2 linked regions of the Mytilus edulis genome follow. The protein of the gene in region 1 purifies or fractionates together with the protein of each later gene. This does not show direct contact. Links are inferred from orthologs where the notes say so. Each region holds a gene or a part of one and is shown in the gene's direction. Other genes may lie near its edges.

Region 1 (7,301 bases):
CGAAAAGAGGGCCCGCTGGTTCCTCAACTTGACAAAATGTGAAGTGGAACAGTACAAAGTCTAGCTTAACTATAAATGAAGCTCTATAAAGGGGACGGGCATCTAAATCCACATCTGGATCCATATTGTATTTAGAACTGGGACATCAAGTCATGCTTTTATTTTAACTGCATGTTTATTCATGACTGTATTTTACACAAAACGCTTTAAAAAGAATTCTTTATAAAATAGAATTGCTTGAATGAAAATATTTCAAAAATAATAACAAATATTTCTAATCACAAGGTAGTCCAGAAAAGAACATATGTATTTCCTCATTTTGAAGTGTCTTGTCATGTTTAGATAATACATTGATGATAACAAGACTTAAAAAAGTATACTTTGTACTTATGTTTAAAATTAAAGTATACTGTTTTGTATTAACACGTTGATAGTAAAAACAATTCTTTCCTGCTTCGGTCCATTTACTTTTTGGGGATACGGTCCATATACTGTCATAAGACTTTCAGTGTTTTGAATCATTTGTGTCTTATTTTACTTTTAAGTTTGTGTTTGTTTTTATCATACTGTTACTGTAAGACATAATAGTGTCCTATGAAAAAGTGTCCACATGGACACTTTTTCATTGAAATTTTGTATTTAATAATGTCCATTGCCATGGAATGGTGTCCCTCAAAAGGACAGATTTTTACTGATAACAATATGAAATAGTGTCCACTCAAAGGACAAATTTTCATAGTAGTTGCTATTAAATTGTGTCCTCCAAGGGAAGTAATACAAAGGACATTACAAAGTTTTATTATACTTGAATTTTAATTAGAATATGAAGGATTTATGAGAAATTGATCAATATACAAATGTAAACAAATAAATAATGGATGGAAGTGAATATAGAGAAATTTAAGTTCTAAGAAATTCCCAGCAAATGGTTATGACAATGAAAGAATAACAATAAGAAGGAAGTGTACATCAAATATGAAGAACTTTATTATATTTATTATGTCAATTTATGTCAAAGAAGAAGGCAATAGAAAATAAATAATGTCTATTGCCATGAAATATTGTCTCCTAAGTGGACAGCATTTTACAGCAACAGTTATGAAATATGGTCCATCTGCAGAACAAATTTTCGTAGTGAATGTTATTAAATTGTGTCCTCAAAGGAAAATAAAATGGAACAGGATCTAACATATATAAGTATATTATAAAATATAGATATGTAGATAAGGATGGTATGAGTGCAAAACGAGACAATTTTTATGTCCAAGTAACAATTAATTCAAGTTCGTAATTAAAGTTAAAATGCGTCCAGTAATAACAAGGCAATGGATATCCTTTAATACTTTAATAATATTAACAAATGCCCTTACGGACACAATGTCCTGTGAAAAAAATGTCCACCTGGACAATATTATGGTAGTGAATAATGTGCATGTTCATGGACACTTTTTCATACCTGAGGACATGTTTTCATAGGAAATTGTGTCCAGGACACATTTAAATAAGTAAATATTGTCAAAATGTGTCCGGTGGACATTTTTTCATGGAGGACATTATTAAATCCTACATTACCACTCGGTTGTATGCCTTTTTGAAACGAATTCAATAACAAAGGGGGGTAATAAGCCTGACTTAAGTCAGGAGCCTTGTCATTTGTTATATACTATTTTGAATTATTTTGGAGAATTAATTAAGGTAATGATGGCATTTCTTTGATGTTCTCTGACAATATTGCTCTTAAGTTAATGCTCACTTTGTAATTTGGTTATTCTCTGTTGTTGAGTTGCCATTTCATTAACTTATACACAGTGCTTGTGTGAATTCAACCTATCCTTTTATGCATATTAGTTTTTTTTTTCAATTTAATTGAGACCCGTATTCATCAGACCATTGATCAAACGAGATTTTTACATTATAGATATAATAAGATGTGATATGAGTGCCAATGAAACAACTCTCCATCCAAGTCACAATTATGAAAGTAAACCATTATAATAGGTCAAGGTACGGTATTCAACACGGTGCCTAGGCTCACACCGAACAGCAAGCTATAAAGGCATTATGTATGTCTAAATTCTCCGCGGCTAGAAAACCGATAAACTATTATTATTTAAACTTAATATTTTAAGTTTATATGGCAATACAAATTTGATTTGATTTGAATTATATTCATGAGTTTAAGAATAATGTTTAAAATAGAAATACAATAAAAAGAGTAAAGCGGTACTGTTAAAAGTAAGAATGTATATAATAACTTTGATATACAACTCGTCTAAACATCAACCCAACAATGTTAGATCTGTAAATTTGCTTTCGCAAACTTTTGGTTCTTCCCTCGCCGGGATTCGAACCCATGCTACTGTGATATCGTGACACCAAATCGCCTGCACTGCAGCCGTCCCGCTAGTCCTTAATTGTTATAAATGTGAACATAATAATAAGAACCTTTTGACAATAAATACAAATGCTTCCACTAGAACATACATCTTCGAAAAAGAACCAGCAAATTGCATAAACAGCTCTAAGAACGATCTCAAATTATATCAAACACCCAAATACACATCCATGGTGTTAGTACTGGCTTTAATTGACTATTCAGGCAAAACCTATATCAAACAGAAGTCAACACTGGACTTTTCGACAATATGCAAAAGGTGTTTATGATTAGTCGTTATTAAGATGGTGACTCCAGCAATGACATATATAAGGGTCGGTCGTCGTATGGACATGCTGCTACTCATTCCGGCTCCCTTTTATCTTTTTCTCGCGTGTTTCTAGGAATATTATTTCTTTCCGCATTTTACCTCAAGTTTTGTATTATTCTGTTTATGGTGTTTGTTAAATAAAATTTGAACTTTATTTTTGGTAAAAATTAAAATCTTCCAAGTTTATGCCACCGTCCGTGAATTATATCTATAAATTGTTTATTCAGAATCAAGTTTGACATCACGTAAACGTGAATTATCTATCTATAAATATTATATACATTATGTCAATGATATGTACAACACCAGGTGAAATGATTACCTATCAAATTATCTTTTATGTTTCATTTTTTATCAGAGCAAGTTTTACAAACTGTTTATTTGTTTATCTCCTTACATGACCAACTATCATGTCAATTACCATTGACGTAGAGTCTAAGGACCGATCGATGTCTGAAGAGTTCATAATAACAATGCTCTAGTTATATACATATTGCATATTGCAATTAACGAGTCTGGAGATCAAATGTTGTGCGTTTTCTAGTAAGCAAGTTTTGTTTGCTTGTGAAAAAAACCCTGTAAACTTAAATTTAAGAAACAGACTTTGACGATGTATGTCATTATTTTTTAAAGGGTTTATTTCGTTTATAACATCCCCAAACATTTGAGAAAATGGGCATATGTATATGCATGTACAAATATTCTGTGAACCTGAAAATAAAATCTATCAAAACTGTAAAAAATAGATTCTGACAGAAACTAGATAAATGATTTTCGTTTTCGTTTTGTTTCATTTCATTTTGAACTAAACTTTTTTTTAAATTTAATTATTAGAATGTGCATCTTCGTCCAGTTAGTCTGAACTCAAAGACTAAGGTGTACATGAGAATTGCTGGATAGCTTGACACTATAAATTATAAATTATGAAGAAACAAAAAAGAAAACACTGCATTAACGAATATTGTTAAAGGTTTGAAGTCAGATTTATTAAAACTTAAAATGAGTTCTGTACTGGACGGAATTGTTTATCTCCACTGAACATTTCTCGCTGCTTTGGCATGAGACTTCGGCTGTTGTCTCAGTGCTCTTTGGTCGGATTGTTGTTTATATGAAATATACCCCATTTACATTCTCAATATATAATAAGTTTACTCTGAGACTATTTATCTATAGATCACGTAATAAGATCTAAGTCAATCTAACTAGAACTGCGGCTACAATAACTTTTTAATAAATATAAACAAGAAGATGTGGTATGATTGCCAATGAGACAACACTCCACAAGAGACCAAAATGTCACATAAATTAACAACTATAGGCCACTGTAAATCAATATATTATGTCCCAGCTGTTATCATATAATCAAGTTACGTAATGATTTGTGCTAATTTTTCATATATTATTATTCAAATTAATTTCATTTAAGGGGAGTAAGAACTGGTGAGAAACTGGTGAGAAATTATTCCAACGACAAGTGTACAAAGGGAAATAACTCATTTTTCCAAATCCGGATATCCTTAACAGTCAACGAACACAATTTAGAATGTGAAAATGGCTGCGCCCATGAAAACACAATATTTTTATTGGATTTTATCTCAAACTTAAAATAACACCATCTTTGACTAAGTGTCATCAAATGCCTGACTTAAAAATTAACTAGGAGAGGAAAGTTTAAGTAAATAATTTTATAATTCATCGTCAGTACATTTAAATCTGATAAGTTCAGCCTTTTTTCAACTGAATGTTATTTTTACCGTGTGTTCTTGTACTGTAGTTGTGCTGTTCTTAGTCCAAATAATTATGACATCTTGAAAGGCTATTATAATTTTTTTCTTTGACGCCTAAGCATTATGACGTCGAAGTAAGGCGTCAAAGAAAAAAAATATAATAGCCTTTCAAGACGTCATAATTATTTGGACTATGCTGTTCTATGAGTAACACAGCCTTCATGCTGAGTGGCAGCCCAGGCAGCCCAGGCTAGTAAAATTGCTCTCGGGCCTGTAAAAATCTAGTCCAAATAATTATGACGTCTGGCAAGGCTATTTTAATTTTTTTCTGGGACGCCTTCCTACAAGGCGTCCCAGAAAAATAATAAAATAGCCTTGCCAGACGTCATAATTATTTGGACTAGTAAAAATCATATCTTCAGGCAAACAGAATCTAACTAAAAATTTTCAAAAATTGAGCTCCGGGCCTGTAGTAGTGTAGATTTAAAAGTTTGTCGTGAAGACTGGTAACATACATTTTCATCCTGTAATAGTCTTAATGAGCTCGTCCTAAGTCAAGAGCCTTTTAATTAGTGGATGTCATTGTTTGCTGTCTGGCATATTCTTAGACTTAAGTATTTTATTTTGTGTTTTTGAGTTAAAATGTAGCTTAAATATAGAACTTAAAACTGACAACAGTTGTATGGGTTCACACATCTCTTTAATTCGTACATGCACAATATTGACATTATTCACACACAGTCCTTTCATTGTACAACGTTGTACATATTGTTTATAGGCATTGTCTGCGCGTACCCGCATGCGGGTACGAATAATCAAATTGCCATTTAGGCTGCGCGTACCTGCATACGATTTTCTACTAAAATGCCATAGGATTGGGAATGAAACGTGAAATATATACGGAAGTTATCGATAATATGGGAATTTCGTGTAGAAAGAGTGAAGAGTATGAAAAATAATATTTTCAAATTGTATTTATTAAATAATGATACATAATAAACAGTGCAAAATTAAATTCACAATGATGGAAAATGTAGTCCCTGTAAAAGAAAAACATGATAGAAATTAATACCTGAATACTATTCAGTTTAAAATTTAAATGAAAATTTAACAAATAAAATTTTAATAATTTAAACATTTTAAAGAAATGCCCATAGGATATTTTAAAATAATCTTTAAGTAAAATGTAAAACAGAAACTGAAATTTTAAAATATATAAAACTAAAATTAAAGCTTGAGTTTATACAAATTAAAGAAGCAAAAATATGATTGTTTTGGCCTGAGACTACTATAACACATAGTAGTCTCAGTTTTGGCACAGATTTCAACCCTGCACATTTCAAATGTTGCCAGTCTAAACAGCAATCTCAGGCCAAAGAGTCCTGATTGTGTAGTTTTTTTTCTCACTTTATACATATCCAGTCGTATGTTTTCCTTCTTACGGTGATCTTAATTTTTAGTTGTTTATTCTGTTGTACTTTATATCTTCTTTAATTTTTGTGCTGCCTGTCAATTCTATGAAATTTAATGCCTGATAAATGTAGTTCTGTACAAATTTTTCTAGTTCATGATAAGTCTGAAATGTCTTCCCCACAGTTATAATATCACTCTCTTCCATTTTAAGAATATTTTCTAACTGAGAAAAAACTATTCACTTACTTATATACAAAATGTATATTATATATATATACAGTCCGCCAAAAGTTAAGCACCACCTACTTTTATTGCATCGATTTTTTTTCAAATTTAAAAAATCAATTGTTCCTCGAAAAATAGAAAACAATCATATAGCAATTTTGCTAATGTATACCATAAACAAACCACAAATATAATTTTGGTCACTTATGAAGGTTCTATGCATATAGGTTTTTCGTTCATAGAAATAGTGTAAATTACACAATTAAGAAATGGAATTTAAGTTTCACTGTGATTTTATTTTTTTACAACAATTAATCACCCAATACCATTAAAATTTTCTACACATAATCTTTGGTATGTTTGGCAAATTTAATGTCAATATTTGAGTCAATAGCATGTGTAACAACCTCATTTCCGGTACAGTTTCATAACACGACCTATCTTTCTCGGTACAAGCCTTCAAAACTTTAGTTGAGGAAATCTGTTGCATTAAACAACAAATGCCACTTTTAAATCGACAAACTTTTGTGAAGGTGAATCTCTGCGATTGAGATTTCCGACAATGGCATCTCAGACATGTTTGATAGGGTTCATGCATGGAGTCAAGGAAGGCCAAAAATTAGTGTAAATGACTGGTTGCTCTTTGGACTCGGTTAAAATTCTTGCCCTGCGTGGTATAGCGTTGTCATTCAGGTACAAGTGTCTTGACAATGTTGACGCAAGTGGGGGATTACTAAAATGACGGACTACAATATGTTAAGGCACCAAATCTCTGTATGTCTGTCCGTTTATGTTACCCTGCAGAATATGCATACCCAGCTTATAACGGTATAAGAAGCAACCCCGTACTGGAACACAACCAGCAATGCATGCAGTCCTTGTGCAAATATTGTTTTTGGTCATAGGCCGTTTTTTTCTCCTGCGAAATTCGTATTATGGCGTCTTCTGGCAGTAAAGGAAACTGACTCCCATCTGACCAATGAGTGTTTTGTCAGGTTCTTATGTTCAAGCATAGATGTTCATTATCCCATTTAAACCTGACGGTAGAGTGCCTGCTTGAAGGTACAGGTCTCTATACACCACGACGTGCTCTTCGTTTGCCTCTATAAAGTCGACGGACCAATGTACGAACACTTACACGACCACCTGGAGAAACAGTGTATAAATTTATAAACGCACATATGACCTTTGATAAAAGGTTGGTTGACTGCTTTATCGGAGTGCAATCTTT
Region 2 (7,772 bases), on another chromosome or scaffold:
ATCACTTCTAGAAGTCCTAATGGCATGCAACCTCTTATTTTCTGGTTTCAATTTTTGTCACAGTAACTAGTGAAATTTTATGTCAGACATTGGCATATTTATTGAAAACTGTACAATAAACAGTCAATTAAACCGATGTGGTATGATTGCTATCGCTAATGAGACAACTCTTCTCAGTAGAATAATGGAAAAAGACCATAACAACCATATGACCTTCAACAATGATCAAAACCAATACCCCATAGTCAACAAATCCCAAAGTGAGTGTCTGATAACGCTCTAAAATGTCCTCGGCTGAAAATTGTCATTGTCTCATTGGCAATCATACCACATCTTCTTTTTTATATTTGAATTGAAGACTTATATACATCTCTGATTACTTAAATTCAGTTTGAGCCATTGTAACAGGTGAGCTATGTGGAGAGCTGTCTCATTGGCAATCATACCACATCTTCTTTTTTTACGTGGATGTTAAATGTGCATTGGTTGAAAAATGGGCAAGTAAGATTAAAACCAAGAAAATCAGGAAAGATCAAAATGATATGTTTATTTTCCTCATCAGGAGATTAAACATTGGAAGAATTGTGAAACAAGAATGGAAATATTCATGTTAAGACGAATTAAGTACATGTATGATGGAAAAACTACTAGCAGTCATAATTTAAGAAGTTCTTTCGAAATTCTGATACATTCAAGTAGCAACAGACTAATCCTCTAGGAATGTACGAATAATTTCCTCCTTTGTCATGTTTTTGGAGCATTCACATTTTCTGCGGCATACAATACAACACTTGCACTTAACACAACTGCAGGAATGGCAGTTTTCAGCGCAGTTGAAATCATTACAGGGGAGTAACTGTCTGCACATTCCATCCAATAAAAAGTGTCTTAAAATGTATGAACGCTGGCATTGTTCAGTTTCAACAAGAGATCTCAGATACTCCCGGCTGCTACATGTACATTGAAATTTCCTGTTAGTTCTGCATGTATCACATGGTTTTGACACACTCCTCTTGAACGCATAGCATAACATAAGTCCGAAGCTGCCATCACGGACACATCTGCCAGTTTCCTGCCACAGTAAAAGAAGTGTTGATGGCAACCCCCACAAAACTACTAATTTAATGTTGGGTATATTAACACCCATTCCACAGGCAACTGTTGCAACCAAAACACGTATAGTACTGTCTATCGATATAAATTGGTCCATAATTCTTTGTTTAGATTCCTCATCTGTGTGAGCATGGTACATTTCAACCATGCGGTTCTGAATGACAGATTCCCCATTATAGGCTGCAGACTTTAACTCTGAGTGAATCCATATATATAAGGTTTCACACATAGCAATAGAGTTCACATATATGATGGTCTTTTCGAACTTGTCTTTCTTATGTTTTATACCTTCCAAAATCCATTTAAGTTCTTCTTCATGATGTTCGGATGACTTGTCCGTGCATAAAAATATGTTCGATCTGAAATACAGATTAATTTTTAAAACATATATGCAACTTTGGTTTTGGCATCATAGTAGGTCCAGTAAGGACCAATTTTGGCCTCAAATTTCAGGTTCATCTGACAAGATTTTGACCACTTTTTAACATGAAACCTGTCTAAAAATTAACTGAAATGCTAGAATTGTGAAGATTTCTGTAATTTAGCATGACTTTAAGGTGCTATTACCCGATTTATGTTTATTGTATAGTGAAAAATAACCCATATTTATACATAGCAGAAGCATTCTACTGTTCAATAAATAACTAAAAGTTTACATTTTGTAAAACTGCTATATTTTGGGGCCAAAAAGGGCTCCTGGACCTACTCCTTTAAGGAAAATGATGAAAAGTTTACCTGTTTTACAACACAGTATGGTATTTGGTGATTTTTAAAGGCTGTAGATAGAGTGCCCTATGGTTGTAATTTTCTGTGTCATTTGGTCTTTTGTGGAAAGCTGTGTCAAAGAAAATCATACCACATCTTCTTTTTTATATTCACACATGACAGTCTGACTTATTAAACAACCGATTTGTTTATCTTTTACAAGATATTTATGCAAACAGTGATTATCTAGGTTCTTTTTAATTTTCTGTGTCATTTGGTCTTTTGTGGAAAGCTGTGTCAAAGAAAATCATACCACATCTTCTTTTTTTAATTGAAAATGCTTATCATACATGTATATTTACCTATCTGGTAATGTTGCAACTACTGTTGTTGAGTGTTGTTGTAGACCTAAAGCTCTGTCAATATCTTTTCTAATGTCATTTGTAATGGTAGCAGATAACACCAGTACTGGAGCTTCAATGATACTTTGAAGGAGACCAACTTTGCCATATTCTGGTCTGAAGTCTAATCCCCTATAAACAAAAAAGAAATGAAACCATTAATTCCCCTTTGATTATTGTGGCTCGTCATATGACAATAAGCTATTCCCATGATTTATTTCTTTAAACTAAATTAATACCATTTTTTATCATAATTGCTAATTGATTAATTGTTGCTTGCTTACAGTCCAGTGGCAAATATATCATTAATGTTCTGGACGATCATGAGTTTTGAAAAAGAAAGTGAAATGAGATGACAATTTGAACCTATCATTAAATCGAAAACAAAAAAGAAATAAGTTTTCATGATGCGTACAAAAGATAAATAAAATTTATCATGTTTTACAAAGAAACAGTATTGCTGAGAAAAAAACATCCACCCCCTTGAAGTTTACAATTAGCTCTTACCATTCAGAGATACAGTGCGCCTCATCATACGCAACTACACATATCCTATCCTTATAGGCCTCGGTGATGACATCACGCCAGAACTTCACCAGTATTGCTTCTGGTGATGCAAACAATATTCTGGCAAGTCCATCTTTAATACCTAAAAAAAAGAAAGATTAAAATTAACATAAAATCAAGAATGATAATTGAAATCTTGTTGATTATTTATCTTTTGATATGGGAGCCTCTGGCCTTTGTTAGTCTTGTATTATTTTAATTTTAGTTTCTTGTGTACAATTTGGAAATTAGTATGGCGTTCATTATGATGGAACTAGTATATATTTGTTTAGGGGCCACCTGAAGGACACCTCAGGGTGCAGGAATTTCTTGCTACATTGAAGACCTGTTGGTGACATTCTGCTGTTGTTTTTTAATTTGGTCGGGTTGTTGTCTCTTTGACACATTCCCCATTTCCATTCTCAATTTTATATCATAAGAGGCACTGAAAAAAGGAACCTAACTGGTTGTAATACCCCTTAGCTTAGTGTCTGTCAAAATACCTGTTGGACTTCAGAGCAATTTAGATTTACCCAAAGCCAGCCTAAACAAACAAACAATCTCTGTTTAGAATTTTGAAAGAAAGGGTAAACTCCAATGTATGGCACTGTACAATGTATGGGTCTTCTAGTTTGCTTTCCTGGATTTGTTGACTATTTATTTCAGTGTGACATTACCCATTTCCAACCTAATTCTATGAACATGATACTTTATTTATCATATATTAAAATACATGTACCTGCTAAATCCTCTTTCTCTGCACCTTCCAACAATCCATATGCTGGAATATTCTGTTCTCTTAAGCTTTTAATTTGGTCCTTCATTAAAGCCTTTAATGGTGAAATGACCAGACTTGTGTGCTTCTTAGAAGGGTCATCCTAAAAAAAGAAAACAAAAACGCCTTCAAAATTTCTATTGTTTTTTCTTTATCATATTTTTTAATTCCATATTTTTATACAGCTGTCGAGCAATTGATTAAAACACCAAAAAAAAAAGGTTTCAGAAGGAGAAAAAAGGGGGGCTACAACATATATGATAGAGCTGTATGTTATTGATTGTTATTGATACTGAGGGGCGACATCAAAAGTGTAATGAAGGATAAATAACTTAATTCACATATTTTCGACCCCCCGCCCCCTTTAAAACTTAATTTGGGAAAAATTGATTGACCTGTAAAATCAATTTTAGATTAACAAAACTTGTATCAATGTTGACCCCCACCAAAACTATTTGATTTCATTTTTTTTATACTACCTACATCGATCTTTTGATGTCGTAACATTTTATATATTTTTTTTTTTAATTTACTCACTTTGTTCAGAACAAGCGGCGGGACTATGTAACACATGCTTTTCCCGTATCCTGTAGGCAAGACTGCTAACGTGTCCTGCTTCTTGAGAACACTATTAATGACTGTTTTCTGCTCCTCTTTCAACTGCAAATTCCCGAGTTCTCTCATCACATCTTCTATGTATCGATCCATTGTTGTTTATGAGAACACCTCGGTTATTTACGATGCAAATGAACTAAATGTCCGAGTATGTTCCGACTGTGATCATGTTTGGCTATGTAGGGTCAAGGTCGAAATTAGCATAAAAATTTGCATACTGAAGTCTCGAGACCACGAACTCCCTCGTAACTTGACGTCCATTTGAAAATGAAAGTCGAAATGCCCAAATGGACATGTCTCTGCGAAAACTGTTTAAATATGGAAAAATAAAGATTGGCAGGTAGGTGAAAGTTACATATTTGGAAAGATAAATGAAAAACGAACAGATTGATGTCCGATTTATATAATTCCAAGGCAGCCAGTCGGCACTAGAAGCGTCGAAGTCGCGCATCTATTTTGGGTGGGCAAATATCCACTTTTTGATATGGGACGAGCTCTGACGTCCCACGGCCCCAGCTTGTCTGGCAAAACAGCCGTCGGACGTCAGAGTAATCTCGGACTAATAATGGCAGTGCATATTTTTAATTTATCATTTTTTTTAATATTAAGATAAAACTATTTACACATGATGAATTTAATGACTGTAGGTGTAGGATGAGACAGTTGCGAGTATAAGTCGTGAATATTATGTATAAATTATATAGTTCCCATGCAACTAAGTAAGTTTTCAAATCGCACGCAAAAATAGATAGAATGACCTAAACGCTAAATAAAATATCCGTGAAAATAAGTTGGTTTACAGTATAAATATATTTGAAAGTAACAACAATGTGTAGGAATTTTGTTCTGTGATTATGGACTTATATACGTATATATATTCTTCTGGCCTGAGTTACCAGTTCTATACGACATATATAGTGAAGGCATATCATACATGTCATAATGCATACAATACAGATGTAGGTTCTGCTATTGTAAATATTCTCTAGTTGATACATGTAGGGTTTGACGACTTACAGAAAAGAGCAAGGATTTAAAGAAGGAAATTAGCAAATTGCAAATCATTTAAAATCTTATACTGTGACAGGACTAATTTTAACTTACATATGAAAAATTACAGGATGGGTATGATACCTACATGTATCTTATAGATTAGAAAAATAAAAAGGAAAAGTTTTTATTCACCAAGTAAGAGCCACTAGGAGGGCATATAGCATACAAACAATAATATCATAAACAATAACATACATGTATGCATAACCATGATAACACAGACAATAGATATGTAACATAAGTAATAAAACAAATACTACATGAAACATGCAACAAAATGATAGCAATACACTATAATTCAATTAATATTCGTCATGTTCGTGTTGGGCCTAAAATAAAATATTGTTTGTTTCCCCAATCCCGACCGACCCTGCAAAATTGGTGCTACTCATAAAATTTTATTGTCAAATCTAAGTCAAATATTATTTTATTCATTTCTGATTTTCAGGCTTGCTTGATCGTCCGATAATGTTAAACTTTTTGGAAAAATAAAATTATTTCCCTACCTACATGTACTTGCCCACACCTGGCTCGGTAGAGTTGGGATTTGGGAAACAAACAATATATTAATCTAGGCCTTGACATTGATGCATGTGTTCCAGGTTCATTAGTGTATTTTACCTATAAAAAGAAAAACAAGAAACATAAGTAGTTCGTGCTGAGAAATATATATACACTGTTACTGTCACATATAAATACATTGAATTACACACAGTTTTGTTTTTTAAAATTTATTAACTGCACGCGTTGCCATTTTACCGCAGTTGTCACGTTTCCTCTGACCCTCAATCCTTCTTTCCTCTCGACCTAGCTTCATTGACCACTCGTCTGCCATCTGTTGACTTAACCAATTTGGTCTTAATACTGTATCGACGGAACCTGGCAAAATATTTGTACCTTTCCATTAAAGTTTTGTTTGCCCAAACATGCCTGGCAATCTTAACTTTGAAATGTTCGTGTGTGCTCGCAAGCGTATAAGGTTCTCTCCCTATCACTGCTCTTCGTCAATCTTTATAATTCGCCTCTACCAAATCTCATCTTTATCACGAAGTCAACTAAAGACTGAGGCTTCCAATTGACAGCTATCTTAACAATTAGTCAGTGATTCTACATAATCCCTAATTATACAAATTCACTGTAACATATTCACATTGTTTAAACATTATACATATGTGTATGTACATGTATCCTCTTTTCGGTTCTTTTCAGTCCTTTTCAGTTCTTTTTGGTCCTTTTCGGTTCTTTTCAGTTCTTTTCTGTAAATGGTCGCTCTTTTCTGTAAATTATTGGACCGTACATGTACTGTAAATTCAGAAATTGTTGTGATGTTTTTATTAATGCGAAAAATGAGACAGGGTTATCATCTCAATAATATAATCTTGCATTTTGAAATGTTTTATGTGAATTAAACAGGATGATTTTTCAATATCACAAAAATTAAAATTGCATTTTAGTCTTTAAATGACAAAATCACAATAATAAATGCATGCAAAAATTTCTGAATTTAAAGTACAGCTTAATTACAATGAATTATAAGCTACTACAAAAATTAAAGAGAACAATTATGACATTATATTAACATGTCAATCATTGTCAATCTTTTGTTTGTAGAAAAATAATAAACAATGCGATTCAAATGGGCTCCACAGGCAGCAAGATTGTTGAATGGAGTGTTTTGTGTATACAAACCAGAAGGAATGTCAGAGAAAGTTCTTAGACAGAAAATACAAGCCAATTTAGCTAGAGGTAATGAGTAGAGATGAAGTGTTTTTAGCTCACCTGGCCCTTTTCTCATCACTTGGCGTCCGTCGTCGTCCGTCTTCCTGCGTCCGTCGTCGTAAACTTTTACAAAAATCTTCTCCTTTGAAACTGCTGGGCAAAATTTAACCAAACATGGCCAAAATCATTATTAGGGTATCTAGTTTAAAAATTGTGTCCGGTGACCCAGCCAACCAACCAAGATGGCCACCATGGCTAAAAATAGAACATAGGGGTAAAATGCAGTTTTTGGCTTATAACTCAAAAACCAAAGCATTTAGAGCAAATCTGACATCGAGTAAAATTGTTAATCAGGTCAAGATCTATCTGTTCTAAAATTTTCAGATGAATCAGACAACCCGTTGATAGGTTACTGCCCCTGAATTGGAAATTTAAAGGAAATTTTGCTGTTTTTTGTTATTATCTTGAATATTATTATAGATAGAGATAAACTGTAAACGGCAAAAATGTTCAGCAAAGTGGGATCTACAAATAAGTCAACAAGATCAAAATGGTCTGTTGATCCCTTTAGGAGTTATTGCCCTTTATAGTCAATTTTTAACCATTTTTCGTAAATCTTAGTCATCTTTTACAAAAATCTTCTCCTCTGAAACTACTGGGCCAAATTAAACCAAACTTGGCCACAATTATCATTGGGGTATCTAGTTTATAAAAATTGTGTCCGGTGACCCCACCAACCAACCAAGATGGCCGTCATGGCTAAAAATAGAACATAGGGGTGAAATGTAGATTTTGGCTTATAACTCTGAAACCGCAGCCTTTAGAGCAAATCTGACAAGGGTTAA

The links.
Region 2: the proteins of RCC1-like G exchanging factor-like protein (region 1) and pseudouridylate synthase TRUB2, mitochondrial-like purify together in Homo sapiens (affinity purification with mass spectrometry; 3 studies listed by BioGRID and IntAct, with this or other methods). This does not show direct contact. The link is inferred for Mytilus edulis from reciprocal best matches to the Homo sapiens genes RCC1L and TRUB2.

What each region holds. Positions count from the first base shown.
Region 1 is NC_092355.1:44,610,371-44,617,671, reverse strand, and holds the start of RCC1-like G exchanging factor-like protein, read left to right. Parts: upstream 1-4,238; 5' UTR 4,239-4,380; intron 4,381-7,301. UniProt on the Homo sapiens protein: Guanine nucleotide exchange factor (GEF) for mitochondrial dynamin-related GTPase OPA1. Activates OPA1, by exchanging bound GDP for free GTP, and drives OPA1 and MFN1-dependent mitochondrial fusion. Plays an essential role in mitochondrial ribosome biogenesis.
Region 2 is NC_092345.1:79,634,250-79,642,021, reverse strand, and holds the start of pseudouridylate synthase TRUB2, mitochondrial-like, read left to right. Parts: upstream 1-4,717; 5' UTR 4,718-6,833; coding exon 6,834-6,954; intron 6,955-7,772. UniProt on the Homo sapiens protein: Minor enzyme contributing to the isomerization of uridine to pseudouridine (pseudouridylation) of specific mitochondrial mRNAs (mt-mRNAs) such as COXI and COXIII mt-mRNAs.